Linked DNA regions of Tamandua tetradactyla. The protein of the gene in region 4 purifies or fractionates together with the protein of the main gene of each other region. This does not show direct contact. Links are inferred from orthologs where the notes say so. Each region holds a gene or a part of one and is shown on either strand. Other genes may lie near its edges. The genes, in order: CDK1, PSME3, CDK3 and CDKN1A.

What was found.
Region 1: the proteins of CDKN1A (region 4) and CDK1 purify together in Homo sapiens (affinity purification with mass spectrometry; 11 studies listed by BioGRID and IntAct, counting the BioPlex papers as one, with this or other methods). This does not show direct contact. The link is inferred for Tamandua tetradactyla from reciprocal best matches to the Homo sapiens genes CDKN1A and CDK1.
Region 2: the proteins of CDKN1A (region 4) and PSME3 purify together in Homo sapiens (affinity purification with western blotting; 3 studies listed by BioGRID). This does not show direct contact. The link is inferred for Tamandua tetradactyla from reciprocal best matches to the Homo sapiens genes CDKN1A and PSME3.
Region 3: the proteins of CDKN1A (region 4) and CDK3 purify together in Homo sapiens (affinity purification with mass spectrometry; 3 studies listed by BioGRID and IntAct, counting the BioPlex papers as one, with this or other methods). This does not show direct contact. The link is inferred for Tamandua tetradactyla from reciprocal best matches to the Homo sapiens genes CDKN1A and CDK3.

Annotation. Positions count from the first base shown.
Region 1 is NC_135339.1:36,504,464-36,512,323, reverse strand, and holds the start of CDK1 (cyclin-dependent kinase 1), read left to right. Parts: upstream 1-4,853; 5' UTR 4,854-5,395; intron 5,396-7,454; 5' UTR 7,455-7,479; coding exon 7,480-7,516; intron 7,517-7,860. UniProt on the Homo sapiens protein: Plays a key role in the control of the eukaryotic cell cycle by modulating the centrosome cycle as well as mitotic onset; promotes G2-M transition via association with multiple interphase cyclins.
Region 2 is NC_135332.1:24,427,184-24,434,188, forward strand, and holds the start of PSME3 (proteasome activator complex subunit 3), read right to left. Parts: upstream 3,002-7,005; 5' UTR 2,893-3,001; coding exon 2,818-2,892; intron 2,719-2,817; coding exon 2,686-2,718; intron 2,566-2,685; coding exon 2,503-2,565; intron 2,289-2,502; coding exon 2,184-2,288; intron 1,287-2,183; coding exon 1,238-1,286; intron 588-1,237; coding exon 475-587; intron 270-474; coding exon 201-269; intron 91-200; coding exon 23-90; intron 1-22. UniProt on the Homo sapiens protein: Subunit of the 11S REG-gamma (also called PA28-gamma) proteasome regulator, a doughnut-shaped homoheptamer which associates with the proteasome. 11S REG-gamma activates the trypsin-like catalytic subunit of the proteasome but inhibits the chymotrypsin-like and postglutamyl-preferring (PGPH) subunits.
Region 3 is NC_135332.1:16,403,927-16,411,860, reverse strand, and holds the start of CDK3 (cyclin-dependent kinase 3), read right to left. Parts: upstream 3,007-7,934; 5' UTR 2,921-3,006; intron 2,249-2,920; 5' UTR 2,239-2,248; coding exon 2,123-2,238; intron 1,761-2,122; coding exon 1,683-1,760; intron 1,587-1,682; coding exon 1,466-1,586; intron 1,373-1,465; coding exon 1,202-1,372; intron 1,125-1,201; coding exon 1,023-1,124; intron 750-1,022; coding exon 546-749; intron 1-545. UniProt on the Homo sapiens protein: Serine/threonine-protein kinase that plays a critical role in the control of the eukaryotic cell cycle; involved in G0-G1 and G1-S cell cycle transitions. Interacts with CCNC/cyclin-C during interphase. Phosphorylates histone H1, ATF1, RB1 and CABLES1.
Region 4 is NC_135331.1:93,465,503-93,472,377, reverse strand, and holds the start of CDKN1A (cyclin-dependent kinase inhibitor 1), read right to left. Parts: upstream 3,006-6,875; 5' UTR 2,914-3,005; intron 1-2,913. UniProt on the Homo sapiens protein: Plays an important role in controlling cell cycle progression and DNA damage-induced G2 arrest. Involved in p53/TP53 mediated inhibition of cellular proliferation in response to DNA damage.

The DNA.
Region 1 (7,860 bases), on a different chromosome or scaffold from region 4:
TTATCAGGCAAGATGTTCCAAGGGCTTAGAGAGCACCTCCTCTACACAGATATTTTGTGTACTCACTACCCACACAAAAAAGCATGTGGGTAGTGAGTAACAGGAGAAGCTAGACCATGGAAACTTCTTCTCATCACCAGATTTGTAAAACTACAAGAAGAGACTTTGGTGTTATCATCTGCAGTTCTCTTCTTCAGGAATACACTCATTAATTCAGTATAAACAATTATGACTCAGACAATTTTTTGAATCTGGAATACTTAGAAATCATGCAAAATAGCATTTTCCAGAATCCCTGTGTTTGCGGGGCAAAAAATTACAGCAGTACTGCAAATAGCTGATAATGTAGAAGAAATCTGATAAAAGTTTTATGGCATTACCAATAATGAGCTAAGAAGTTAAAATAACTTTCTTTGTAATTATGAATAATAAAAAACAATTTTGATCCATCCTGATACAGGAAAGACTGAGTTATCTTTTTTCTCTATACAGAAAATATTACAACACAATGTCATATGAAGAGACAAAGACATCAAGCTTGCCAGGTGGGTTAACAAGTAAGCATTTAAAATATGGATGTCAAAAATATAGCCATAAAATGTAGGGCAATAGGCATTATAAAAGTGTGTCAGGCAAAATAGAAAGACTTTTGGTGAATTTTGTAATTTTGTGGTATTCTTCAACTTGTTGAATTTTACAATTTTATGATTTCTTTTCGTATTCTCAATACATATTTCCCATCACATTTAATTATATATTCTTTTTCTTAAAAAGGGCCTGCAAATGATCCAAGCTTCTGGAACCCATAAAATCTGGGACTGTCCTTGGCTCTCTGCATCCATATGGACATCTCCTGGTACCTCCCAACCCACAAGCCCAAAGTGGCACTTCACCTCTCACAGCTGCCCATCAGACACTTTCTGGACTGGTAGTGGTGTCAGCCTGTTTCCAAGCCACTTATATACCCAAGAGTCACTGGAGATGACTCTCTCCTATTTTCACCTCACTAAATCCCTCACTGAGGCCTTGCAGTCCTATCTCCTAACTATATATGGCGGCCATTTCTTCCTCTTCAAGCTGACCACCACCTCCCGTAGTTAGCATCTGCCGGAACAGTTGCTTGAGCCCTCCACTACTTTTCCTGGTTCCAAAGTAACCTCTCTCCTCACACCTTATTGTCAGGTTTTAGACGGTAGCTGACTGAGAAATCAGAGAAACTGAGTCCGAGTTTAAAAAGTTTATTGTCCCGGGGCGAGGTTCCTGGGTCCAGGTGTTCAGGGTGCGGGCTGGGGAAGTCGCCCCCCCCTGGGGGCGGCGGGGCTAGATATAGGCTAGCTAGTGGGGGTGCCGACGATGCCTACCGGGCCTTCTGTGGTAGGTTAGGAGTTTCACGCGCTTTAGGGCTGGGGGGCATAGCTACAGGCCTTGGCCGGGGGCATAGCTACGGGCCGTGTGCAGTGGGCATAGCTACGGGCCGTGTGCAGTGAGGGTCCTTTGTTTGCAGGGCAGGTCCTGATGGCTGAGTTTGAACAGCTGTATGCCTGGATGTTCACGGGTTTTAGTTCGGGTGGGGGCCTTCCAGTCAGAGGTTAACAGGCCTTACATTTATCTTCGGTGACCTTTCTCCCCCTAACTCTCTCATCTGACTATGTCACTCTCATACTCAAAATTTTTTCAATTCTATCCTCCAGTCCAAATTCTATGGCATAATCCTAAAAGGCTCTTCAAGATATGGCTATTGTTTAATTGCCTAGCCTCATTCATTTGACCCTTTCTTCAGTACCCAGACTCTCTTTATGATCTGGCAATATTGAATAATTTCATTCTCTTAAAAATGCCTTGTTCTTTCTTCTCAATCAACCAGGAAGCTCTCCGCACTTATTTGCCTGTCAAAACTCTTCATTCTTCAAGACCCATGCCACTTCTGCTATGAAGCCTTGCCTTCCTCCCTTCCTCCTCCCACCTTACACACACACACACACACACACGTGCACACACACACGCATGCACACACACTACTTCTGGTAATCTGTGTGCTCTGTAAGAGCATCCCTCACCAAATTGCACTTGAAGCACTTGTCCCCCATCTAGATAGGAAGATCCTAGGGGCCAGTGTCCATATTACTGACCTGCTGCCCTTGGTCCTCATTGGCCCCTAGGTTGGTGAGTGAATCTCTCCTCCCTACCCCAATCCCACTGCCTGAAAGAACAATGAGATAAAGGTGCGTTGACAAGCAAGCACTTAGTGTGGATACCAAATGTTAACCGTGCTTGCTCTTTTTCTCTCCCTTTTGTTGGAGGAATGAAGGTGAGGTATGGAGGTTGTATATAATGAACTCTCATTATCCTCATTTTACATTTTGAAATTGCACAAAAATACTTATTAGTATAAAAATTAGAAAAGTTCCTAAGGAGCCACCTTACTAGTTCTGCTTTCAGCTGTGATTACGAGATCTCAAATGTTTCTCTAACAACTTCAATTTCTGAATTAACCTAAAGGAACATTATTTGACTTCTATTGGGTAAGTATATCCAGCAACTTCTATTAATTTTATGCAGTAGAAAAAGGGCTTTGGCCAGAGTCATTCATTCATTCATTCATTCATTCTTCTTTGGACTAAGCGGTAAACTAAAACTGTTCAAAATTAAAAAGATGCAAAAGTTTCCTTTTCACCTCTGTGCCCCAGCCTCTCTTCTCCACAGAGGCATATTGTTATGTTTGTGGCGTCTCCTTTCAGAATAGTATATGTATTAACAAGCAAATATTTCTCAAACTTATTTTTATCTAAAAAAAATCTGAAAAAAAAGTTATGGGTAATGCCAACTGATCTTTTCTTTTCCTTATGTAACAGAGTTTACTGAAACATAAATATGAAACTTTGGGGGGGCACATGCCTTTCTATACCTCCCCTCTTTAGTTCTGCTTTTAGATCTCAGTTACAGTTGCTGTTTTAAAATATCGTTCCAAGCTTGTCCCTCTTCTGCCCAGACTCTTTGGAACAGTGTTGAGTGCTCTTCAAGATTCTGACTCCAAACTCTTTTCCCTAGCTTGATACCACTGGTACCCCTCTATATGCTGAATTACTCGGGAAGACTTTTAAAAAATTATGGTAACATATATAAGATATGATTTCCCCCTTTTTTTTTTTGCATGGGCAGGCACCAGGAATCAAAACCGGAGTCTCCAGCACCGCAGGTGAAAACGCTGCCTGCTGAGCCACCATGGCCCACTCCCATTTTTTAACATACAATTCAGTGGTGTTAATTACATTCATCACCATCCATTACTAAAACTTTTGTCATAACACCAAACAGAAACTCTATTTTAATAGCTCCCCTATTCTCCCTTCCCCCAACCCCTGATAACCTTTAGTTTGTTTCTTTCTCTGTGATGAGGTTGGGGAGGAAAAATGGTCAGTCAAGTCAGCACTGAAGTTTCTGGAGTTGGTGGAAATGGTAAGAGTTATGGACACAGAGAGATTATATTTGGTGAGAGAAGATGTTTGAGGTTAAGCTGACAGTGGGAACTCCAGGTGCAGATGTCTGTGAATTTTCTCTGTGAATTCACTTATTCTAGATATTTCATCTAGGTGAGATTGTACAATATCTCCCCTCTTGTGTCTAGCTTATTTCACTTGGCATCATGTTTTCAAGGTTCATCCATGGCAGAATATGTCAGGCAAAGCCTCTGTGCTTTGTTCATGCCGTTTCCTCTGCTTGGAATGCCCGTCCCACAATTCTTTCTAAAGTATTTATTCAAATGTCACTTCCCCTGTCAGCATTAGTTTTCTCCTCTGTGTTCCCCTGTCATTTTATAGCATAAGTTACAATTTAAGTACCAGAAGAGAGTTCTAAATCATCTTTGTGCTTCCCCCCTCTTATACTGAGAGCAGGAATGGTATCTTACTCATTTTTGCATTTATAAAATACAGTGTTGCACTTTACAGACACTGAATATAGGTTGGCTGAAAATATAATAAACTATATGTGTTAAGAGGATAGCTTGAATTTACAATAACCCTCCTGAAATTCTGAAAAGAAAGAGAATCGCATTAAATTAAAAAAGAGTAGCATCACAGCTATGGAAGCTTATGGTCTTCTTTATGCTGAATGTAAAGTGAATATAATGCATTAATTGCATTTTTTAAGATGATACAAATTGAATTCCATGCCTAAGCCTTCCAGAGAGAAAGACGTATATTCATTTATTAAAATCAGTAACCCAAAATAACAGAGAACAGCCTGCCTCCCTAGAGCACCACTCTGGGGAAATGAAGGCAGTTTTCATGTAAAGAGTGAATTTTTCATTTAAAAGTAAGCTTTAAAAACTGTTAGGCTTAATTAGGGTATTTACAAGCCCCTACCCAACAACCCCACATGTTCTGCCTCTGTGGCCTGGGAGGCTAAAATAGTCAAGACTGAGCCTAAGTGCCACATATAGGGCCAAACAACAGATGTTGCTTCTCCTATTCGTTGTGCAAAAATGCATGAATGCATGTGATATACTAGTTCCATTCCTTATCCTACCCTGGGTATTCTAATTCATAGTTGAAGAGGTCGAGATAGTCATTCTTTGTTCTATGTCCAGTTAGAGTCAAGGCAAAGAGGAATTCTTCCTAGAGGACTCTTACTACCCCGGGTTCTACATACTGTTTTATTTCCTTAAAGATTGAATGTTCAAATGCAAAGATCTTTCTTAAGGATATGGTGGTGATGCTGTGTTATTTAAAGAATAACTTGATTCCTTTTTCTTCCTTCAAAGAATTATGAATTTTGTGTTCATATGTAAAATTTTGATGTAAAAATAATTTAATATTGTAAAAATTTCCTTTAGATTTTAGGTCTTTCCATTTTCCATCATCTTCAGGTAAGTGAAAACGTGCTCTTATGGAGAAATAGGCTCATCCAGCAAACCACTCAATTTAGAAAAACATAAATATACATTAGCCTTAAGCACGAGAACTGAACGGAATGGAATCTTGATGTAATGTGATAAGCTATTTGAGCGCAATAATTTTTAACTGTACCAATTCCGGAAGGAAAAAAACCCGAACGAATAGTAGATTCTCAAGACGAGAAACAGTAGAACGACGCTTCCCTGGGATGAAAGACGCCCCTGTGTTCAGACTCAGTTGGCGCCCGCCCACCTGCTTTTTCTCCAGCCGCCGTTTCCTCTTCCTTTCGCGCTCTAGCCGCCCGGGAAACCCAGCCCAAGCGTAATGTGCTCTGATTGGCTGCTTTGAAAGTCTACGGGCTACCTGATTGGTGGATCGGAGACCCTTTAGCGCGGTGACTTTGAAACTGCTCTCACTTTGCTTCAAACCTGGCTCTTGGAAGTTGGGAAGGAGTGACGCCGACGTGGTAGCTGCTGCCACCACCGCGTCGGATAAGCCCGGTAGAGTTGCAGGGGCCCGGGTCGTACCTATGGGGCATGTACTCGGCAGGCGCCGGCTCGGGGGCCTTGGGGAGGGGAGTATTGAAAGCCCTGCTGGGGAGCAGGGGGTGTGTGCGGCAAGGCCGGGCCTCAGGGTGGGCTGGGCCCGGGGCTCGGAATCCCGGGCCTGGGCTTTAGGGGGAGTTTTGTGGGAGCACAGCCGGATGGGCTTACTCTGGGGAGGGCTGAGGCTGCCCTGGCCTCGGAGTTCCCTTCTGGAGGTCTGAATCGTCTGTTTCGAGGAAGAGGTCGCCCACCCAGCGGAGGAGGCATTCTGGTGTCGGTGCAAGCTGGATTGAAGCAAAATCCGTGCACAGGTTCGAGGACGCAGGGTGCTGGTGAGCGCCAGGCTCGCTCATGGGCCCTGCTGCTTCGGTTCGCCGCCTGCGCTTCATCCTTCGGCTGCTCCGGGGGTGGAAAGCGAGACCGCACCTGGGCCGGGCCCCACGCCAGTCTTTAATCCCAGTCAGTCTGAGAAACCGATCCGACGAACTTCTGGGCTCTCTCGGGCTTCCTTCAGCACCCATGTCCCTTACCTGACCGGAAATTTTAAGAACCCGTAGCCAAGGCACAGAGCCAGTGGAAACTTGGGTTTCTTTTTTTTTTTTTTTTTTTTACTTGTACTTTACACTCGTAGCTAGTATATCACTGGCAAAAAGTGGAAAACTAAGAAATGCCGAGAGAGAAACATGTGTTCTTAATACCTTTGTCAAGGCCTTTAATCAGTGTTGATCCATTACTAAAGTTACTAGTGTGCATTCTGGACCTGGAGGTCTCTGGGAAGGGAAACTAAGCCAAAGATATTTTATATCCTACAGCTGTTAGAACAGAGCCGCGGGACGCATCCAAAAGGCATTCTGAAGCAGCATGTTTTATTGATAATTGTTAAAGTTGGAAAATAGAAGGGTAATTGAGTCCGGCTTTGAAGTGGAGTTAGTTTTTAGCTATTAAAGTGAGCGCAACAATTTTATTGTGTTTTAGCCCATATTAATTCTGGTCACTTAGGAAAAGATAATTGTGCTAAATTGTCCATTGCTGTTTAATAAAATTAAATTGTAAATTCTTGATGGACATTCTTTTGTTTTGGAGTCAGTTGCTCAGAGTAACCCTTATGATTTTATCATCAGTGATGAGTGTGTTAGAAAATCAATGTAATTATGCTTCAGATTTCTGAGGTTTTGCTTCATTGGAAAACTTAACCAACTGAGAAGATCTTGAGTGTCTGGCTGTCTGTCTGCAATTCTGCTCCTTCTTACCATTCTTAGTGATTAGTATTTGTTTTTTTATTTGGTTCTTGGTGTTGGTAGGGTATAATCAGAACTTTATTTGTGGAATTGCACTTTTAATCTTTTCCTTCTAGGGCATTCAGTGATATCTTCTTTTGCAAAAGGTACCTTGCAAGTCTTGTAATAGAGAAGCACATTTGTCTATGTGACTGCTATAAACAAAGAAGAAAAATTAAAACTCAACTTGCGCCAACTGTAAACACTTAAAATGCTTTTGTTGCTTTAAGCAAAACCTTTCTAATGGGGAGCAGTCTGACCAGATTTTAGACCCCTACTCAAGTCTCCTGAACATTTTCTCTTGAATTATCTTCACTAAAAATATCGTAAAGCAATACAAATCAAATCAAAATAGCATTATTTGCTGATGTATTTGGGTATAACCTTGGTACACAGTAGTGCTCCTTAAAAGTGTTACTTACTTCCATGTTTGGTTTGGAAAGGATGGATTGATTTATTGTGAATTTGAGGGCTAATCCAGATGGAAGAAGCTAAATGTTACACTGGTGTAGAATATACACATATTTCCAATATTTTAGAAGCTAAAGAGGGTGGGAAAGTCTTATTGCAAGAGTTCTTATTCTTGTAAATATTGTCTTAATATAACTCATATTTATGAAATACTTTATATTGCAGTAGACATTGCTAAATACTTAATATGTAGTATCTCATTCATACTTAAAACCACTCTTTGAATTAGTAGCATGTAATCAAGTCATTTTTTCCCCTCATTTTAGGATTTACGGCACCTGTTGGGTAACTATGGAAGACTATACCAAAATAGAGAAAATTGGAGAAGGTGAGTGATTTTAATAATATAAAAATTTTTTAAATGATGATTTAATAATGCAAATATGTCTATGACTTGAAGAAATGTGCACATATTTATTAAGATCCAGCCACTAAGTGTAGACCCCAAAGAACTGGAAGCAGCAATTCAGATACTTGTGCGGTAATGTTCATAGCCCCGTTATTCACAATAGCCAAATGTGGAAACAACTCAAGGTTCCATCAACAGATGAATGGATTGGAGAGGGTAAATAAAATGTGGTATATCCATACAATGGGATACTAATCAGCCATAAAAAGGAATGAAGTTCTGATACATGCTACAACATGAATGATCTGTGGAAAACATGCTGA
Region 2 (7,005 bases), on a different chromosome or scaffold from region 4:
AGCCAAGTCCAAGCTACCCTACCTAGAAATCTGGTCCAAGTAAGACGCAGCTTCACTCTCAACAGTCCTTAGTTCTGCAACTGTCTCTTCCTGAAAACAACAGGTAAGTCAAAAGCCACTCTCAGAATATCCAGAGAAGCCTCAAAGAAAACTGGAAAATGGAAAAAGCAGGGGAGATACTGCCAGTTGCAAGACATTACCTGAATGGACACCCCAAAGTTGTTCCCATCTTCTATCCTGGGAATCAGAAGCTGCACCCACATTTTGACCTGGAGGGTGAGGGAACCAAAACACTTATTTTAGAACCCTGGCCTTTTCTGCTGAAGTCATGAAGTATACAATTCTTGCTGCTGGGGCACACACCAGGTGCAAAGGAGCCAAGACATCGACTCTGCCAACCCTGATACCACCTCTATGCCTCCAGCCTGTCACCCATTATGGCACGAGCCCATGGGTCACTGGTCCCTGCCTCACCGTGTTGCATTTCTCAATCAGCAGCCGGATCTCAGGTTTCACCTTCTCAATAATGTCCACCAGTTGCTGGTTGCTTTTCAGCATCCCATTGGGCATCACAAACACCTTGGTTCCTGGAAGGGATGTGAAGATGCCAAATGACTGGAGTGAGGGGAAGGGCACAGAACTCCCACCTTCCTCTCTTCCTCCTCAGATCCATGAAATGCTATCTTCACCTTTATCTGTTACAACACGGGCCACGATGGCTCAGCAGCAAGAATGCTTGCCTGCCATGCCAGAGGACCCGGGTTCGATTCCTGGTGCCTGCCCATGTTAAAAAAAAAACTCTATCTGTTACAACACTACAAACCATGATGCCACTATTAAAATCAAACAGAGAATTTACGGGTTAACAAATGAGTATTTAAAGTATGCCAAAATATTTAAGAATAAAGATATTAAAATAAATACATGCTCTAAGGACTTAATGTATCGACTTTTTTATTGAAGGGGGAAAAAAAGAACATGAAAGGGACCCTATGAAAAATCTGAGATGCATAGTCTCTACCTACAGTCTCTCTCCCTTGGCAGCCCACACTAAATCAAAACCTCCCTGTTCACTGGAAAATCAGGTTTAGGGGCTATATAATGACCATGTTTGGAGGATTTGGAAATGTTGACTCTGAAAAATAAAATCAGATACTGCTTCCCAACAAGGAGTGCACCAGATTCATACTGCCTCTCAGGACTGCAGGTCAGAGGGTAGGGTAGGAGTTGTTCTTACCTTGGAAGGCCTCGTCACACTCATCCAACCTTCGCTTCTTATAAGTGGGCTAAGGATACAAAAGTGGTGGGAATTAGCCCATCTTAAACACCTGCATCCCCATGCACCAGATAGCCTTCAAGTTTAATCCCTTCCTTGACCACACAGGTTGTTTTATCAAATTATGAACAATTTACTTAGCACACATAAAGCTTTAGGAAAAGGTTCTTGCCACAAAGCAACTTACACTCTAGTTAGGAAGATCAATCTTTCAAGAAATACGAGGCATTAAGTAAATGGGGGAAGGGGAGGTTCTATAAAGAATACAAAAAAAGGAACTGATAAAAGCAAAGTGAGGTTCACTAAGGGAATATGTACAAATTTGTTTCTCCCACAAAGGAATACAATATTCAATCAACAGTATTTAGAACCTGCTATGTACGAGATACAATGCTATTGCTGAGGTTGCAAAGATGATTAAGGCAGTTTCTGCCTCCAGAAATGCAAGTTCTATCAATGAGACAGTAATGCAAACAAAGAATGATACAATGTCATCAGTATTATAGTAGCATGTGGGCATATGACTGCTAAAGAAGCACAGCAAAAACAGGGACTGGAGTTATACAGCAAGAACTTCTTGTTCTATTAACAGGATTCAAGTCACTGAAACAAAGTCTTGCTTAGAGCCAAAGGAACAGATCAGATAACCTGAGGGAAACCATAGTTAGTTTAGTCCTATTTGAAGCTCACTCTAACACTGAGAAAAGAAGTCAAATATTCTCATGCTATAGATGAACATCAGAGTCAAAAGCGAGTATATTGGAGTGCTCATGCTCATAAGATTCAGAGGCCTGGTTTCAAAATCCAAATCCTACTGACCTCTCTGTACACATTCAAACCGACAAAATGCTGAGGACAGAGAACCTACTGCTTAAAAACAAACAGATAAATACAGAAGGACACTTACACCATCCAGTCCATCGTGGCTATTGGTGAGAAGAATGGGGTCAGGGACTGGGAGATTCATGTCCGAGTGGATCTGAGTTAGGTCATGGATGTTTAGAATTGGTTCCTGAAAGAGAGATGGCCCAGCCCCAAAACACCCTTAGTCTTTTCAAGGTGAACAAAGAAGTATGTTCATCTGAAGGATAAGAAATGAGACCATGCTGTACAGTACAAAAAAAATACAATCAACACACAATCTGTCTCATTTGCTAGAAAGACCAAGGCCAAAAACATGGGGAATGTGAGGAAAGAGAAGGGAAAAAAAACAAAGGATCTCTCACCTTCAAAAAACTATCAAGTTCTAACAACTTCTTTGGGAAAAAATTTGCCACCAAGTCTTCTGCCTAAAGGTGAGTGAAAACACAGCAGAATTACCAACTATGGAAAGGTCTCTCTCTACAGACACCCTCCGCCATGAGAAACTCCCAATTATTAACCAAGACTAATTTTTCTATTTCACTCACCTCGCTTGTGATCCGCTCCCTGAAAGAATCAACCTAAAATTGACAAAAGAAAAAAAAAAGTAATTCAGTAAGAGCAACAGAGTTAAGGACTGGGCTGAGAATCCAAAATCCAGTTAGCTGCCTTTCCCTCACCTTGTAATTATAATGAGAAGCTGAGAGGCCCCCAGACTGTAAATACTTTATTCTTTTGAGGATCCATTTCTCCATCTTTGGAGAGGGAAGAGGGGCTTAAGGGCAGCACAGCACCCCTGTCTTCCCTCCCTCCTTCCCTCCCTCCCTGTGTCTGAGGCCGTCTGCCTCTGATAGCAGACAAAAGATAGGTAGAGGGGATGTGAGCTCATAAACGTGCCAACCCCTACTCAGACCTGGCCTATGATACCACGCAGGCCTGACGCCAAGGACAGGGGTGGCAGCTAGAGTCCGGGGGCGGGGACATTGCTGGGTTGGGGGATTTCCAGGTGTCACTAAAGAATTGAGTCCAACACGTGTCCACCAAGGTGTCCCCGGGGCTCTCTATTACTAGTCGGGGTATACAAGGCCACCCTATATTATCCTTCCTCCCGATACCGTCTCCAAGAGTGGGGGGCTGGGCTAAACCGAGCGGAAGCTTGGAGCTGGCGTCCCCAGGGAGACAAAGACGCCATGGGGAGTGGGGGAGCCGGTCAGACTGCTGTGGGAGCGAAGCGAGGGGTAAGGAAGTCCGACCGGTGCCGCTACCTTGAGCTTCACTTCCTGATCCACCTTCAGCAACGAGGCCATGGCCGGGTCGGGCCGTGTCCGCTCCGCTGGAGACCGGAGGCGCTGTGGGCTCCGGGGAGGGGGGCAGTGGGGCGGGGGGCGGTTTCGGCTGCCCTCGGGACGCCGCCGCCCTCGTTGGCTCACTGCTCGCTGGCTCCCTCCCTATGCCTGTCCGCCCGCCCGCTGCCTGCTAGCTCTCTCGTTCGCCCTCCCGGCTTTCGCCGCTCACACCGGAAGTTACGTCACAGCCAATCGCCCGGATTCCAACCGAGGCACGCACGTGCCCTGCGCAGCCGCGCGGGGCCTCAAATCAATACCCTCCGGGCGGGATTCATCTCTCAGGCTGCTGTGTCCGAGAGGGGTGAAGCAAGCGGGAGAGCGGTAGAGGAAGGTTTACTGAGAACTGGGCCTCAAAGAGACTAAAAAACCGTTTGACCCGGAACTCGCCTTCACCGAAGAGACCTGAACCGCTCCGAGGACAGGACAGACGACCTGTCGCACCCCGGTGACGTCGGCCAGAGGAAGCCGGAGACCCCGGCGCTCGTTTCTCTGGCTAGTCAGCGATTCCCGCTGCAGTTCGTCCACTGAAGTTCAAATGTTGTGGATAGAAGACAAACTCAGTTGTACCAGACTTCCCCACCTTTCCCCACCACCTACTCATAAACTTCTAGACATCAAAGATAGGTGATGGGCAAATTGACTCCCGGAGTGAAGGTCTCATCCAAGGCTACACAGCTGTATGCTTAGAATTTATGCTTTTTTCTCTATGTATCTTATACTTAAGTAAACAGTTTTTAAAAGATCAGCAACATCATGCCTCTTCTCTGCTTATCATCCTCACTGGCTTCCCAGCTAACAGAATAAATCCATAACTCATGCCCATAGCCTACCACTCTGTATGACCTGCCTCCACAGTTCTTTTCATAGCTCCTTGTCTTTTAAGTCTTAGCTAAAATGTCTTCAGAGAGACCTTCCTGAAATCCCCAACTGAAGAAGTTTCACCTGCTCTTGCCCCTTCTCTTCACCACATTATCCTCTTTTATTTTCCTCATCATACCTACCTTATCTGAAATTATCTTGTTTATATGGTCAAAATCTCTCCCTTACAATATAAACTATTAGAGCAGTTCACCACTTTATCCTCCTAGACCTAGAACAGTGCTTGGCACATAGTAGGTCCTCAATAAATATTTGTTTGACCAATGACAGGGTGTTTGTGATTATTCACAATCCTTCACACTGATTACTCCCCAAGCAGCAGGTTACACAGAGTACTTACTATGTCTCAGGCATTATTCTCTATGCTTTACATGTACTAGCTTAATCATCATACTACTCTGTGATAGATACATTATCCCTATTTTATAAATGAGAAAACAAAGCATAGAACAATTGAATAACTTGTTCAAGGTCACAGGGTTGGTGAAAGAGACAGGTTTTGAACCCAGGAAGTCTATATTTCCAAACCCTCAGTTTTAACTTCTATATGCCCTACCTCTCTAGAAGCCCAAGTTAATTTCTCTAAGCCCAAATTACTTCTCCATGCCTTTCTGGCAAAAAGCAGGCAGAAATGTGGGACTACACCAGGCCTATATTAGAAGTCTTTGGAGATGATTCCACTCTCCTTCTCTAGAGGGGGTCTCCTGAAATCCAAGAGGAAGAAGCGGCTGTAGAGACTACAACTACTTAGGAATACTAGGAGGAAACCAATCTAGTTCCACATTATGCCACCCAACACCAATTTTAGGAGGACCACACATGCTTAAAATAATAGAAAAGTCACTTCTGGATCTAGGAATGATTCTTTAAGCAATATAAATTACCAAGAAAAACGATAAGCAGATTTGACTTTATAAAAACTTAAAACCTTGCATCTGGAAAATATCTTAAATAAACCATTCATGGAAATTGATTTTAAAACTTAGGAAAATTTTAAAAACCCAATAGTAAATGAGTAAATGATGTCAAACATAATTTATAAAAAGGGGAACTACAGCAAGCAAGTATATGGCAAAATGTTCATCTTACCAGTAATCAAATATGACAATTAAAATAACAGAGAAGTGCCATTTTTTACCTTCGTGCTGGCCAAGGCATCATAAAACAGGCTCTCTCATCTGCTACTGGAAGCAGAATATATATAATTATAAGCAACCACTTTGGAAAAGTATTGCCAGTATTAATCAAGAGACATGAAATAGCCACTCTTTTAATTTAGTAATGCCAGTTGTGAGACTCTGTCATGAGGAAGCAGTCAGGTACTCTTTGTGGCATTATTTTAGTCACCAAAGCCAGAAGCAATAGAAATGTCCAACAATAAAGGAATACCATAGGGTAGTATAGTTGATGTAATGCAATTCAGTCATGAGAATGATAATTAGAACTGTTTAGCAACATGGAAAAATATTTATTAGTAATGTTAAATTAAAAAAATAGAATTTAAAAATTTCATTACAATTATAAACACAACCATGTTATAATGGATAGGAAAAAACATTAAAAGGGAAATTATAAAAATGATAGTTGATGTGGTAGGATTATAGGTAAATTCATGTCACCATTTTCCTAACCTATATTGCTGTATTAATCTTTTTCAAAGGTTTCATTTTGTTGTAAATTAATTATATGATTATTGTAAAAAAAAATCTTACATTACAAACTTGTATGAAGTAAAAGAAAATCCTCATTCCATTGTCCAGTAAAGATACTGCTTGCTGCACATAATTTTGACATTTTTATTAACATGTTGTTGTTTATATAAATGAAATTATACAATCTATACTACCAAAAAAATTTTTTTCAAAGACAGATAGCTTTTATTTTTGCTAAGCTAATGTTTCAGTTCATATCTTTGAATTTCCATTGATGTTAAACACCAAGTTTTTTCTTCTTAAAAAAAAAAAGATTTACAAGCACTTTTACGGCACCCAAGGAAAGTAGGTTGAAGGTTCATAATAATAATTTTCCTTTTAAAAAACATCCATCAGACCAAAATAAAATCGTTTTAATTAACTCCTTCCTCAATAACTAAAACCTTGGAATGTGCTAAAGGTTACAATAAATAAGGCAGCAAAAGAACAATCAGCTTAAAATGTATTTTTTAATTAAACTATGTAAAATGTATGATATATTTCATGAAGTACAAAGTGTGTCGGACCTAGAATCAAAGAAACTTTGTCACGTGAGCCAAACAAATTGATGAAATACCTTGTCTTCCAGGTAGAAGAGGCAAAACCAAAAAAAATTTTTTTTAAAGAAAAAAGGGCAGGCCATGGTGGCTCAGTGGCAGAGTTCTCACCTGCCATGCCTAAGATCTGGATTCAATTCCTGGTGCCTGCCCATGCAAAAACAAAATACGAAGAAATCTATACCATTTATAATTTTTTATTTCAATTAACAATCATCTCTTGTCTCAATTAGCCCAAAAGCTTCTTACCTAGACTCCCTGCTTCCACTCCTGCCACTCTTCAAATTATTCTCAACAGTAGTCAAATGACCCAGTTATAAAGTAAGTCAGACAGTCTTTTCAAACAGAGGTTCTGGGACAATTGTATACCCATATGCAAAAAGATGAATTTAGAC
Region 3 (7,934 bases), on a different chromosome or scaffold from region 4:
ACTAAGTCCTCCAAGCCTATGTGGGCAAGAACTGCTGGCTTTGACCAGTTTGACCTGGGACCAGTCCAAGTGGTTATAAAAGGGACTGCAGGGTGGGGGGATGAGGAATGTGGCAGGCACGCAGGCAACAGGGAACAGCCTGTTGTGAACAGCCTCATGTGAAGACTGCCCAGCATTGACGGTACTACAGGGAATACCAGGAAAGCTTGCCGCTTGGATGGGGTAATAACGGCCACAAGGGGAAAGAAGTAAAAATACAAGGAGTAAAGGGCAAGTCTCAGGGTATAAAAACAAAACTAACTGGAAAAAAAAAAAGCTAACTGGAAAAGAGGAGCTTTATAAGGGCAGATGAACTTTGAACTTATCATGCAGCGTGGCTTCCAGATTAAGAATCAATACGCACAAGGACAGGGACAAGCCAGTTATATAAAGGGTCAGAGAAGAGATTAGTGTGAAGCCACAGCAGGTGCGGGTTATGTAAGAGGTCAGCTGGCCGAGGGGGTCCTCCCGGCTGGGGCAGCAGCCAGGGCTACCCTGGCACCTACCATAAGCAGGTCCTTGCCCTCTGGCTCCAGAGTGGGCACAACCTCCTCCAGCCCCTTCCTGGTCCACTTGGGGAAGCTGCCCTTATAGTCAGGCAGCTGGGTGACTCCTGGCCACGTGGCTTCACTGGGTGTCCCCAGGGTCCGAAAAATACGAAAGAGCTGGTCAATCTCAGAGTCGCCTGGAAACAGTGCTCTGCGGGTTACCTGGACGGGGCCAAGGAGAAAGAGTAGAGCCCCTGCTGGTCGAAGAGACTCTGCTACCAACGAGCAGCCAGAACGAAGGGAGTGACCCTCAAGATATCTTTCCCAGGGCTTTTCCTGGGATGAAGCCCCTTCCTCAGTCTGTTAGCCAGTCTCAAACACCCCTCAACCCACCTCTAATAGGAAAAGCAGCGAGCCCCGGCTCCCAGCAGGCGCACCTGCCTGCACGCGCCTCCCCCCCACACACACCCGCGGCAATGCATTGTCCCTCTTTACCATCTCTGCAAAGATGCAGCCAATGCTCCAGACATCCACAGCTGTCGAATAGAACTTGCTGCCCAGGAGAATCTCGGGGGCACGATACCACAGTGTCACCACCTGAGGGACAAGAAAACAGAGCCGTTCCTGGGTGCCATTCCTCCAGCTGCCCTTCTCTCCCCCTGACCCAGCAGTACCTCGTGGGTATAGGTGCGCAGGGGCACCCCAAAGGCGCGGGCCAGACCAAAGTCAGCCAGCTTGATGGCTCCCAGCTCATTGATGAGCAGATTCTGGGGCTTCAGGTCTCGGTGGATGACCCGATGAGAGTGGCAGAAATTCACCCCCTGCAGCAGCTGGAAGAGGTAGTTCTGGAACAGCAAGCACGGGAAGGAGCCAGCTGAAGAGGCTGGGGGCTGGCTCAGTGGGTTGATACCTCATCTTCCCCAGCCCTGCCTTGGTACCTTGACTAAGTGCAGGGGGAGCTCAGATGCAGGGCTAGAGTCCATGTACTTCTTCAGGTCCTGGCTGAGGAACTCAAACACCAGGTAAAGCTTCTTCTCGCTATGCACCACATCCAGCAGCCTGGCAAGGAGACGCCAGCGATGCAGCAGCTCCTAGCTGGATTCAGGTAGGCTTGGCATTCACTGTTCCAGTTCCCTGCCTCCTCTGCCCACTTACCTGACGATATTGGGATGGTTAAGTTCTTTGAGCAGGGAAATCTCCCTGATGGCGGTGCTGGGGACTCCCTCAGTCTCCCTGCAGGGAAGGAGGGCACAGCTGTGAGCAGGCCTAGAGGCAGGAGCTGAGGGAGCACTTCTGTGTTCCTTATTCCTGTAAGGATGGCCCACCCCCAGCGAATGGGAGCCTGTGTGCCTCGGCACCTACTTACAACCCATCTGAGCCTCAGGGAGCTGGGCCCAGGGGCAAAGCTGGGCCAGAGGGAGGGAGGAGGCAGTGGGTTGGGGTGAGGACACGTTAGGGTTGCATCTCCGTGGCTGCCTGAATAGAACTAGGCAGCACTCACAGAAGGAACTGAGCGCAGCATTCTGAGATGAGGGAATGGACAGGGCTGAGTGGCCCTGGGCTGGGTGTTTCTCGGGGGCCGTGCCAGCACTCACAAATCCAGCCTGATCTTTTTGAGGGCCACGAGCTGCCCGGTCTCCTTGTTCTTGGCCTTATACACCACCCCGTAAGTGCCTTCTCCGATCTTCTCGACCTTCTGGAACACATCCATGGCCACAGAGCTGCCCGGGAAACAGATGGCGCCCGGGGCGTTCGCCCCCCACGCCCAGCCCCGGCTCCCCCCTCCAGCCTCCTCATGGCACCCCTGCTGAGCACCCCCCCCCGGGCTTGCCCAACTCCCCGGGCCTGCGGCCCACAGGGCTTGCCCCGCTCTGCGGTCCCGGTGGCGGCCGTCCAGGCCCAGCTCCCCGCCCCTGGTGTCCCCAGCCCATCCCTGGGCACCTGGCTCGGGGCTGGGGGCTGCCCCTTGCCCAGCCCAGGCAGGAACCCCCTGTGCTCTTGCCCAGTCCCCAGGGGGAACCGGACGCTGCTGCACTGCGCCCTGCTACGGAGTACAGGAGGGCCCAAACTTCTCATGCCCAGGCCCAAGCCCCTGCCCCCCCCCCGCCCCCCGGCCCGGGCCCCGGGGTGGGAAGGCAGCTCGGAAAGGCTGCCCAGGGGCTGGGGATGGCTCGGGTCAGAGGTCAGGGCTTGGAAGGGTGGCTGGAGCCACAGACTAGCCCTAGGCCACACAGTCCGCTGAGGGGGTAGACCCGGCCCGTTTGGTGATGCTTGGTCTTTTCTTAGGGCAGAAGCTTGTTGGGGGCGGCCCCCCAGCATCCCGGGCCCCCCACCCGGGCCCCTGCGCCCCAGCACCCTCCTCTCAGTGCCACCCTCGCCAGCCCAGACGTCACCAGAAACTGCGCACGCAGCAGCCTCACTGCTGACAGACTCCGGCCCCACGGCGCCCCCTCCTGGCCGCTGCCGAAGCATCACCACGTGCACACAAGCCCTGCTCACGCCCTCTGGCGCCTTTATTCACGAGGACCTTCTGGAGTTTTCCATGATGGCCTGGGGCCCCCAGTGCCCCAGAGCTCGGCCTCCAGCAGCCTTGGGGGGGTGGGGCGGAGCGGGCAGACTTCGGGGCCTGCTCTCCAGGATCCCATTTCCGGGACAATAATTATGGAAAGGGGCCAGAAGAACAAGCCCTCCCCTCTACTCTCTGGTCCCAGCAAGGGCTGTCACTCCAGGGAGAGCGTCTCCATCCACCGCAAGGTTATCTCCTGTTGGTTTGGCCCAGGATCCGGTGAGTGTGTGAGGAGGTGCATGGCTGGGAACTGCCATTTCCTATTGGGAGCTGTCCCTTTCTTGTCGGTACAGCCTCTGTTCCTGGATGGCTTGTTCCAACAAGGGTAGATTGATCCCTTCCACACAAGTCAGCAGCCGGGCCTTCACCACGGAACCTCCATCTGAAAGACACAACCGTCGAGGCACTAGCAGTGATGGCCCAGAGTGCCAGTGACACGTGCTCCAGGAGCATTCTAGCCGTCTTCCCTCCATTTACTTAGTCCTGAGTTTTGACAGCGAGGGGTGGAGGCAAGAAGGACGGTATATAGAAGTTAGCAACTTGTCAGAACTGTGACCTGCCACACACTAACAGGCACATGTCTGAAACTTAGTGGGTGGCCTGAAAATCCCATTTAACCTGGGAAGGGATTCCTAGGCTTGAGCCCAGCTTTCTACATCCTTTGTCACCTTCATCTCAGCCACCTTTTCCATAGGCCCCATGTGCCCCTGGTCGAGGAGGGGATGTGCCCCTGGTCGAGGAGGGGTCTCAGTCACTATCCTAGGTCTCCATTTGTACTGAGGTTAGGGCCCCCTTCACACCCTGGGACCCTCTGGCATTGGAAATTAGGGCAAAAGAAAACCCATATTTTAATATATCCAAGGGGCTGAGCTCCAGGAGAGTTTGGCCTCACAGGGGTAAATCACCTCAAGAAGCCCTATCTAGCCCCTCTTCCAGGGCAGGCTGGAAGTCATTCCATTTACACAGGCCTTTCACAGACAGATTGACAGCAGTGTCCAATTGGTCCCTTGCAATAATCAGATTTCTAGAGCTCACTTCCAAGTTTAATTTCCAATGCCAGTAGGTCTTCTAGAAGATGCAGTGGTGACCTGATGGAATATGTCAACATTCAGGTGACATCAGACAGGAAAGATGTTCTAGTTTGCTAGCTGCCGGAATGCAACACACCAGAGACAGATTGGCTTTTAATAAAAGGGGATTTATTTTGTTGGTTCTTCAGAGGAAAGGCAGCTAACTTTCCACTGAGGTTCTTTCTTACGTGGAAGGCACAAGATGGTCTCTGCTGGTCTTCTCTCCAGACCCCTGGGTTCCAACAACTTTCCCTGGGGTGACTTCTTTCTGCATCTCCAAGGCCTGGGCTGAGCTGCAAGTGCTGAGATGAGGAACGCCGAGCTGTTTAGGCTATGCTACATTGCGTTCTCTCATTTAAGCACCAGCCAATTAAGTCAAACGTCACTCATTGCAGCAGACACGCCTCCTAGCCGACTGCAGATGTAATTGGCAACAGATGAGGTTCATGTACCGTTGGCTTATGTCTGCAGCAACAAGATTAGGTATGCTCACCTGGCCAAGTTGACAACTGAATCTAACACAAAAGACATCTGGATTCACCCTCGAATACTTTTTCTTTCATTCATGCTTTCTCTATTCTCTCAGCACGTCAAGAAGTACACTCGATGTCCTAGGACATTACCCTGTCTATTCTGATGTAGCTTTGTGATAGAGGCTTTCTGATGCGATAAAGTCTAAACCTAGTCTTTTTCGTCTAGGCCATCTTATCAATTTAATGTAGCCTGGGTGCAGATTCTAAACATCAGACTGTTAAGCCTTAATACAGGGCTCCTCTTGGAAGATGGAACTTGTCTGAACCACGAAGTAGCTTGGGTGTCACCAAGCTTCTGTTATTAGCACCAGGCTGCAGTGACGACCCAGAGAGGATGAGCGTGACAACCTTCTGCAGCCACTGATCAGTGCAGACGGTGGATTCTTAGTGCTCAGCCCCCTTTAGGAAACCAATAAAGCAGGACGTCTGCCAAATCTTCAGCTGGTCCTGATAGACCTAAACCTTATCTTGCCACCTAAGTACTCAGAGTAGTCACAGATGTTCAGGGCAGCACAGGGAGAGCAAGGACAAAATCAAGGAGCTCTAAACCCCAACTGGAGCTGCTGAAAACTCAAAAATGGGGGGGAAACATCAAATTTGCAAACTTCCGATATAAAGACTTTCTTAACTGTCTGGCTCAATTTCACAGAAGTTTCCTTACATGATGCCTTTCTTCTCAGCCTGGGGAAACCCTTACCACTAGATTTTTATTGTAGAACATGTTGCTTCTCCCTGTGAATGGAAAAAGCTATTAAATATGGAAATGAGCTTTTTGAAATATGATTATTGCAAAGGACAAATCACAATACTGCTGGTCCATCTGCGGAAGGCCCCTGTAAATGGAATAAAAAGAACTGTGTTTGAAGAAGGGCTGCAGGGAAAGGGGAAAGTTTTTGAACATGACAGCTAGGAAAAGTGAATGGGAACTGGTCATTTGGGAGAATTTCTTCTTGCAAAGATAAAGAAGCCAGAGCTGAGAAAGGATCATAGGTTACAAAGGCCAGCCCAGGACTGCTGAGTGAGGGATGAGTGAGAGATAAGGAAAGGGAGATAATGGAGAACAAGTTTGACTGTGAAGGGAAGGAGGAGCCTAGTTAGGGAAGGGTGCAGAGTGAAAGGTGATTATCATTTTAAGTCAGAGGAGGCTCAAGCACATTATATGCTGAAAGAAAAGAACCAGTGCAGACAAGTTAAGTGTACAGTTGAGGGTGGAATATGGGAACTCTATATTTCATACATGATTTTTCTGTAAACCTATAACTTCTGTGATAAAAAACAAGAGAGAACACAGCCCCTGCAGGAGGGCAGTCTGGGGGTCCGAAGGAATGGATGGGCGTTTGGTGGGGTGGGGTGGGGGGAGGCTAATGATGAGTGAGGGGCATATGATCTTAGGAGGAGGGACTGCTCCTGGAGCCTCCATTTTACATAGGAAGTAGGTGGGTCATCTGCCGAAAGGGATGGGGGAAGCTAGGTAGTAAGAGGTCCTATCTGATGGCGGAGGGGTGGGTAGCATGGGAGAGGGGCTTGACTAAGATGCCTGGAGGGACTTCCAGGCAATGTGGAGGGTTCCCAAGAAATGAGAGACACTGAAATCATTGTGCTGCAAATTCACCGAGTTCTGTGGTCCTTCTTCACTCAATAATCCGGGGCAGGATCAGAGAAGTGGGGAGGTTGGGAGCTAATCAGTGTGATGGAAGGAGGGCAAGAGGTTGCACTTTCTGCCAGAAAGGGGAGGAACTGAAGGGGAGAGAGAAGTTGGGAGAAAAGTCCAGGAATCCAGAGGCCTGGTGCGGCTGAAAAGGAGGCAGCAGGAGGACGTGCAGGGACAGGAAGGTACCAAGAGGTGAGGGAAGCCTACGCCCCACGCCTCCATCCAGAACATTAAGTTCTCAAGCCCTTGGGTGTCACAAGAAAATACAGGAATGCTGTAGCATCGGGTGGCAAAGGTGGGGTAGTTCTAGGGAAGACAAGGTCCTAGGTGAGGCCCCAGTGCGAGAGGCAAAGTGAGGCAAAGGTGCCTGCTGGTAGAACTGGCTTCCACCGGGGATGGGAAAGGTGTGCGGTGACAAACCACAGGAGCCACAGGGATCCAGGCACTCCCTCTGGGTTTGGTGGCCTGAGCAGGACTGCCTGAGGAAGGTGGTAGTGGGGAAACTGCCATCCTGGGGAAAAGCCAGGTTTCAGTCAAATCCCGAAGAAGGTGAGAGCATAAGAAAGAGGCTTGAGGAAAGGCAGACAGAGGGTGGAATGGGGAGATGAGGTTCGATGGAAGAAAACCAAAGGGTGGTGGGATTTATGGACGGCCACTTGCTGTGGCCGGTGACCTCCAAGTATACAGCAAGGAGGTCTGATGGAGAGGTGAGGGAAGCCTACACCCCATGCCTCCATCCAGAGCATCAAGTTCTCAAGCCCTTGGGTGTCACAAGAAAATACGGGAATCCAGGGCAAGGGGACTGTTCTAGTTTGCTAGCTGCTGGAATGTAATATACCAGAAACGGAATGGCTTTTAACAAGGGGAATTTAATGAGTTGCTAGTTTACAGTTCTAAGGCCGAGAATTAAAACAATTAAAACAAGTCTATAGATATGTCCAATCAAAGGCACCCAGGGAAAGATACCTTGGTTCAAGAAGGCCAATGAAGTTCAGGGTTTCTCTCTCATCTGGAAAGGCACATGGTGAACACGGTCAGGGCTCCTCTCTCAGCTGGAAGGGCACATGGCAAATACAGCATCATCTGCTAGCTTTCTCTCCTGGCTTCCTATCTCATGAAGCTCCCCGGGAGGCACTTTCCTTCTTCATCTCCAAAGGTTGCTGGCTCGTGGACTCTGCATCGTGGTGCTGCAGCATTCTCTGCTCTCTCTGAGTCTCTCTCTCCAAAATGTTTCCTCTTTTATAGGACTCCAATAAACCAATCAAGACCCACTCAAATGGGTGGAGACATGTCATCCCCTAATCCAGTTAAACAACCATTCTTGACTAAATCACATCAACCAGGGAGATGATCTCATTACAGTTTCAAATATACAGTATTGAATAGGGATTATTCTACCTTTATGAAATGGGATTTATATTAAAACATGACTTTTCTTAGGGGGCATATATCCTTTCAAACCAGCACATTCCACCCTCTGGCCCCTAAAAAAGACATGTTTTTCCCATATACAAAATACATTAATTTCATAACAATATCAGATATCCTTAAACCTTTCAGTAGCAATACAAACAAAGTATCAAGTTA
Region 4 (6,875 bases):
CTGCTACTGAGCCACCATTGCCTACCCTATTTATATATTTTCATGTGCCAGGGGAGGTTGTAAGCACTTTACAAATATTAATCCTCTTAGAAGGAAGGTAGATATTAGCTGTTTTTAAAGAAGAGGGAATCAAGGCTCAGAAGAGTTAAGCAATTTGCCAGGCCTGCCTGCCCTGGGTTCTGTGTTCTGTGCTGGCACCAACTCCCTCTCTTATTTTGAGGTTTCTTAATCAGAGATACCCATCAGCATCACTTGGGCAGCTTTTTCAAAATCCTCATTGAGAAGATAGGATTTAACAAATGAGTATGACTGCTGAACCAATATACTAATATTTCTTTTGGTCTCCAGTGTCTTGGAGCAGCTAGAAGAAAAAACGAAAAATCGTGGATCTGTAACCCATACCAAACTTTAAAATCTGTTCTATCACTACTTGTTAAAATGTACTTGGAAATTTATTACTTTTTTTGTATATATGTTATATTTCACACAACAAAAAAAGTTAAAATACACACACAAACATTGAGGGGTCCCCTGTCCCCAGACTAACTTCATGTAAATTAAAGGGGATTCAAGCAAGTGTTTGGTACTGCCCCGCAGGGGTGCACTCTTGGGGTGCCAGTCAAGGGGGGCACACTGGATGGCTGAAGCAGGCATTCTGAGTCTCAACAGGTCCTTTGGCACAAGGAGGAAGAGCCTGCCTAGGGCTTTACCAGGCAGCTGGACATCTCCTGGCTGCTAGGAGCTGAAAATGGGACGGGAATCAGGGCAGAGATCTTCTCTCTTACCACTCTTTCCTTTATGGCTCTCCTGGGCCTCTCTTCCCCCACCAAGCACCTGCTCTCAACCAACTCAGAGAAAAAACTCAGAAACACAAACCCTCAGATTTTACAAACAAGTAACAGAGTTCAGCCATATTTTAATTTCCCGGTAAACAGTAATCTCTTAGTAAATACTGTTGAACCAGTGGGGTACTCTTTTTAAGGGGTTAGAGTGGGGGAAAGGATCAGCGCAGCAACTGCGGCCGGGAAGGATTCCCGCAGCTGGATTCCGCGGGAAGACGGGTTGCTGTGCGCGCGGCGGCCGGGAGGGGGCACCGATCTCCAGGAAATCAATCAGGCGCGGGGTGGGAGGTGCGTGGGCCGAGCCTTGGAAGGTGGGAGGGAGAAGTTGTGATGAGTCAGTTTCCTGCAAAGCGCTCCCCGCCCGCCAAAACTCCGCTTCCACTCCGGCGGCGCGTCACCCCTGGGCTGGGAAAGGGGGAGAGCGCGGGGCGGGGCGGGGAGGCCAGGGCCGCGAACACGTCACGCTGAGCCGCCAGGCTTCCGAAACCCCCGCCGCTGTTGGGAAACAACCGCGCACTCTCGCGCCGTCTCTGTCACACACGCACGCACACACACACACACACACACACACACACTCGCGCCTGCACAAGCGCGCCGAGATCTGGCCCCTCCACCTTATCTCCACGCCCAAAGTACAGGATGAGTCAGATCCCTGGAAAATAAAAATAGACGGGAACAACGAAAACAAAACCGCTCGCGCGTCCTCCCCGAAACGCGACGTGGAGCGAGGGCGGCAGGAAGGGAGGTTGGGTGGGAGGGAGCTGCCTGGGCGCCCCAAAGTGCCAAATCCAGTACCGAGATTCTTTTCCACTCGTGTCCACCCGCCGCGGGACAGGGAGGCCTCCCAGTGACCCGCGCCGGGCGGCGGCACCCGAGGGGCGGGCGACTGGCTCTCCTGCTCGGCTCCGGCTGGTCGCCCTCGCACAGTGAGCTCTGGGCTAGGCCGGGGGCGCCCCGAGCCTCCCAGGGCGGCTGACACCGGCCCTAGACAGCTTTGGCGCCCCACACCGCTAAGATGCGACCCCTTCTCGTCTCCCATCCCGGCGTGGACCGCGTGCCCCACTGTCCCGGGGCGCCCGGCTCGGCTTGGACCCCAGAGTTCAGCGCCCCGGACCCTCCGGCAGGCTGGACGGGGTTCTCCCGGCGGCGGTGGGACCGATCCCTGCGCTTCTCCGACCGACAGAGAACGGCAGGAACCCGCCCAGATCCCGAGGGCGCGTCGCGGGGCGGGGGCTAGAAACCCGGTCCAGGACCTCCCGGTGTCCCGGCTTCCCTGGGAACACGCTGTACCAGCCAAGTGGGTCACTGTGCTGATGAACGGACAGACACCAGGGAGAGGCAGGGGTGGGGTCTTCTGGGGGCGCCACCGCCCCCCAGCCCGGGCGGGATTCTGACTTCATCCGGCCCGCTCCCCAGGGTCTTCTTGTCACCGTGAGTCACCTCCTCACTTGCCCTTAAGGGACGTGTCCTGGCACGTTCCCGAGGTCTAGGGACACAGCCCGCGCTGACCTCAGCGCTCAGCCGAGCGGCGAACACCGCGGCGTCGAGCTCCCGGACTTCGGGGGCCAGGGCCCTGGCGACACTGAGTGGACTGATTGGCCCAAGAGCCGTCCCGGGGCGGGGCCCACATGAACCTGCTTCGCTCCGCGTCCCCCGCCCCTTCGGGGACCTCCGGGAACCCGGCCTCATCCCCACGTCGCGAACGAGCGGGGTCCGGGGCGCCTCCCCAACGCGGAGAGTTCGAGGGCGGCCCCACCCACGCCTTCCCTCTCTTCAGCGGATTTTCGAGGGGAGGGGCGCCTGGCTGGGGATCCCCAGGACTCGTGCCCCCGCTCCGCCTAGAGTCTGGGACACATCCCGACCCTCATCATATGCGCACTTACAGCCATCCGTGCGCGCAAATCGAGTACTCACGGACCCACGCAAGTCATTCACCTGCCGCAAAAACACCTGTGAACACAGCACATACACACACACACACACACACACACACACACACACACACACAGCGGCTACGTTCAGCGCAGTGCTCCGGGCCAGGATGTGCTGTCGCCTGCCGCGGCTCCCTCACCTCGTCTGGGTGTCTGTGTCTCGATGAACTTGCACCGGAATCTGGATCTCCAGGCCACCGGCTCCCGCAGCCGCTCACACCTCAGCTGGCGCCGCCCGGAGCAGCCCTGATATAGCCCCTGCGCGGACACGCCTTAAAAGGCGGGACCGGCCGCTCGGCCCACCGCGCCGCCGGGGACCGCCCTCCCCAGGGGCCCGGGCGGCTCCGCGCCCGCGCCTGGCCCAGCTCCAGGTTCCTCGCCAGCAACTGGAGTCGGGGCCTCGTCGGCTGCAGAGGGCGCTTCCCCCCAACCCGCGCGCCTGGGCTTGCGAGCTTGACACATTTCTCCATGAATTTAGCCATAAGCCGGGCTTTTTCTGGTTTGGGAAGTGAGTGGGCTTTGGCCAGGAGAAGGCGGCATTGTTAGGATGAGACCCCTTTCCATTTCTGGCCCATTGCTGACCGATCTGGGCAAGGATTTACCTAACCCAGATTTATAAAAATTCTTAAAAAATAATAAAAATGATGCCCTTCACTTTGCAGTTCCCAGAAAAGTCTCACTACACCACCACTGATTCCACGGCACCTTGGGGTACCCAGACACCCCAGCAAAGTTTTGACGCCAGAGTGGAATTCAATCTCCTTTATTTTACAGATGAAGAAACAAGAGGCCCAGAGAACTAAAGGCTTGCAAAGTTGTTGCTTGCCAATCGCCTCAGGGAAAGAGGGAATTGGAGTTAATTCCATAAATCTCAGAAAGATCCAACCAGGTCTCCAGGAGAAATGGGACAGTGAACCAGCTTCCCCTTACCCCCCACCCCACCCCACCCACACACCTCACTCTCACCTCAGCAGAAGAAACCATTGTGGCTAGGTGGGGAAGAAGCATTGGTGAATGAGCTATCACCTGGATATTCCACAAAAACACACCCCACATTCACTGCTGAGGAAACTGAGGCTCAGAGAGTTTAAGTGACCTGGCTCAGGTCACACAGTGAATTAATGACTACGACAGCCCTTTTGCCTCCATTCCAGAGCTCTGCCTGCTGCCCCCTTTGCTTCAGTAGCTCTAGACCTCATTTCCAGGGGATTTATTGAAGTGACACTGATGAAGGACAATTCTGGAATTCTCCACTGGTGCTTCTGTCAGATATAGAAGTATGTGAGGGGTCCAGCTGCTCCCACCTAACCCCACACACCCAGCCCTCCTCACACCTTGCCTTTGCCTCTCTCACTCACTTCCAACATTTGCAGTTTCTGCTTTATTTTTTTATTTTTTGCAGAGAATAGAGTGTTAATCTGAACAGAAATCCCATTAAAAAAAAAAATAGAATCCATGCTTGGAGTGGCTACAATTACTGACATCTAGGGCTGTTGAGTGTCTGGAAATCTCTGCCCAGACATGCCCTGTCTTCTTCCTTTAATAAGGCTGACCTCAGGGAGGACAGGCCTTTTTCTCTACTGTGGGGCTGGGAGCACAGGTCCGGCTGGGAGAGCACAGTCCCAGACCCTCTCACCTGCCTGATCCTGGAGACAGGTCAGGATTGTACCTAAACCTCAGGAGGGCCCCAGAGATGTGAGACCTCAGGACCCACCCACACCACCCAAGGACTAAGTTTCCCAATGTCCAGCAGAGGACAGGCATATCCTCCTCCTGCCTTGAATCCCTTCTGCTTTTGGGCATTTCAAATAGACTTGACATTGTATGCCTGTTTATTTTGGAATTTTTTCCCCCTTTTAATGAAGGCTTGTATTGAATTATTTAAAGTTTTGTGGCACTGAGCTTCACAATGAAATAATTCTTTTTGTTGTTGTTGTTGGGAAATGATTTTTTTTTAATAACTCCTAGCTCCCCACCACCATTATAATGGAATGCAACAAATATTTATTAAGCATCTACTGAATGTCTAGTAACTGTTCAGTAGTTTAAAAATGTTTGCAACCATGCACTTGAATGTGTAGCCAGGCACACACTTCAAGGGGAAGAAAACTTCTCCCCTGAAGAGGGCAAAGGAGCAGGCTGGTAGAGGTCACAAGATCTAACTCCCACCACATACACACCCACACATACACTCAGCAGTGCCAGATCCCAGGCCTGCTCCAGGAAATCTGCTGTAAATCACATATTCTATTCAGAGAAACTCGGGCCTCCTGGAGAGAAGGAGGCCACGCTCTCCTTGGGGTCTCTGGGGGACCTCCTGTCTCCTACCACCCTCCTCCCTGCCCCAAAGTAGGCAGCCCCAAGGACAGAACAGCCACCAGCCTCTTCTATGCCAGGGCTCAACATGCTGGGACATGTTCCTGGAGGCCAGAGGACAGATGGAGCCACAGCCTGCTGCCAAGGCATGCTCTCCAGGAGGCAGGCTTAGAGACGGAGAGAGGGCTCAGCTTCGGAGACAGGAGAGTCCAGACCAGCATTTCTTCTGGGGCAGAGGAGCAGATAATGGAGAGGGAAGATGGAATGCCCAAGCCCGCGAAAGGAGGATGTGAGGAGGGCCCAACGGTGGCTGCAGGAGCTGCTAGGGAAGAGAGAGGAAGTGCTGGGATAATGTCACCATTTCTTAGAAGAGTCTCGGGGAGTCCCAACCAGGGACAGCCAGCTTTCAGAGGAATTCACCTCCACACAGGCTCCCAAGAAGTGAGGCCCAAGGGAAGAAGCAGAACAGAGATTTATTATATTACTGAGCAGAATAAGCCCTGTATTTTTTAAAAGAAAAATTAGACTGGGAGTCCACACTCTGACCTTATGGGGACTTTACACAGCCAGTGCAAGGGTCAGTACTGATCATACAGTGAGACACAAATATTTGTGGCAAAAGTTATACCACACAAACACTTCCAGCTTCCTAAGCCAACTGCCAAAGATTGAAATTTCACCATTAGAAATACATTCCTTTGGCTTAGATCTGTTCTTTGTTAAATAAGATCAGATAGACAAAGTGCTTATCATAGTGCTTGGCAAAGAAATCCCTTTATGAATATTAGTTATTATTATTCCTATAGTACAAACACTCCCAGGGAAGGCAACCCTTGGGGTTTAATAGTCATTTACACTTTAGTGATTGACTTAGGTAGGTTTCCCAGAAAACACACTCTGAGGTGGAGATTAGCATGCAGGAGGTTCATTGAAAAGTACATTCAGGATCAACAGCAGTTTGGGTGTACAAGAAACAGGATTGGGCAGAGAGAGAAACTGGGCTGTGATAGAGTCTAGAAGCTCTAATGAGGTTTAAGGTGATCCCACTGGGAGTTCTGGAGCTGGGATGCAATGCCTTCAACAGTCATTTAGAAGGCAGAAATGAGGGGCGGGGGTGGGGGTGCTTGATGCATGACTTTGTGCAAGGGAGCTCCCTTATCTGAGGACTATTCCTGAAGAAGGACTCAACTGTGAGCATCAGCAGCCAAAACTGCCAGCATCCAGTGGGGAAAATGTCTGGGTCCTGCGAGGGATTCTGGGTGGCACAGTGCAATGTCCACTACAGTGTGAATGAGTTGATCAGATCATTTAGGGATTAAAAGGAGGTGAGGAAGTACCGTGGTCATAGACCACTTAAGGAGCAAAGGGCTCTCTGTGTCTTCGCACATACCCTTCCCTCTTCCAGGGATGAGTTTCCCTAACCAACCTAGTCCCTCCATCCTCCCCACTGCCACCGCCACCACCCTCTCACTCAATGACCCACCCTAAGTGACTCCTTGGTGTTGAGGCCTTTTCAGGCCTCTCTCCAGTTCCCAGAGCTCCAGGAGAGCAAGCCTGTCCGCTGTGCATTGCTGGCCTGCTTTGTTTACGTGCCTGGTACATCCTCTGAGCTGCAAACGCAGAGATGTTGAGCCCATATTTTATTCATCTTTGTACCTTTGAGATCTGGCAGCTTCAGCTGGGAGCTCAGTGAATATTTATGGAAGGGCCATTTTTGGACTGCACTCTGAGATTAGACTTCAGTGCCCTTGTTTCTGAGGCTTCTCTTCTATTTATTCATTCATCT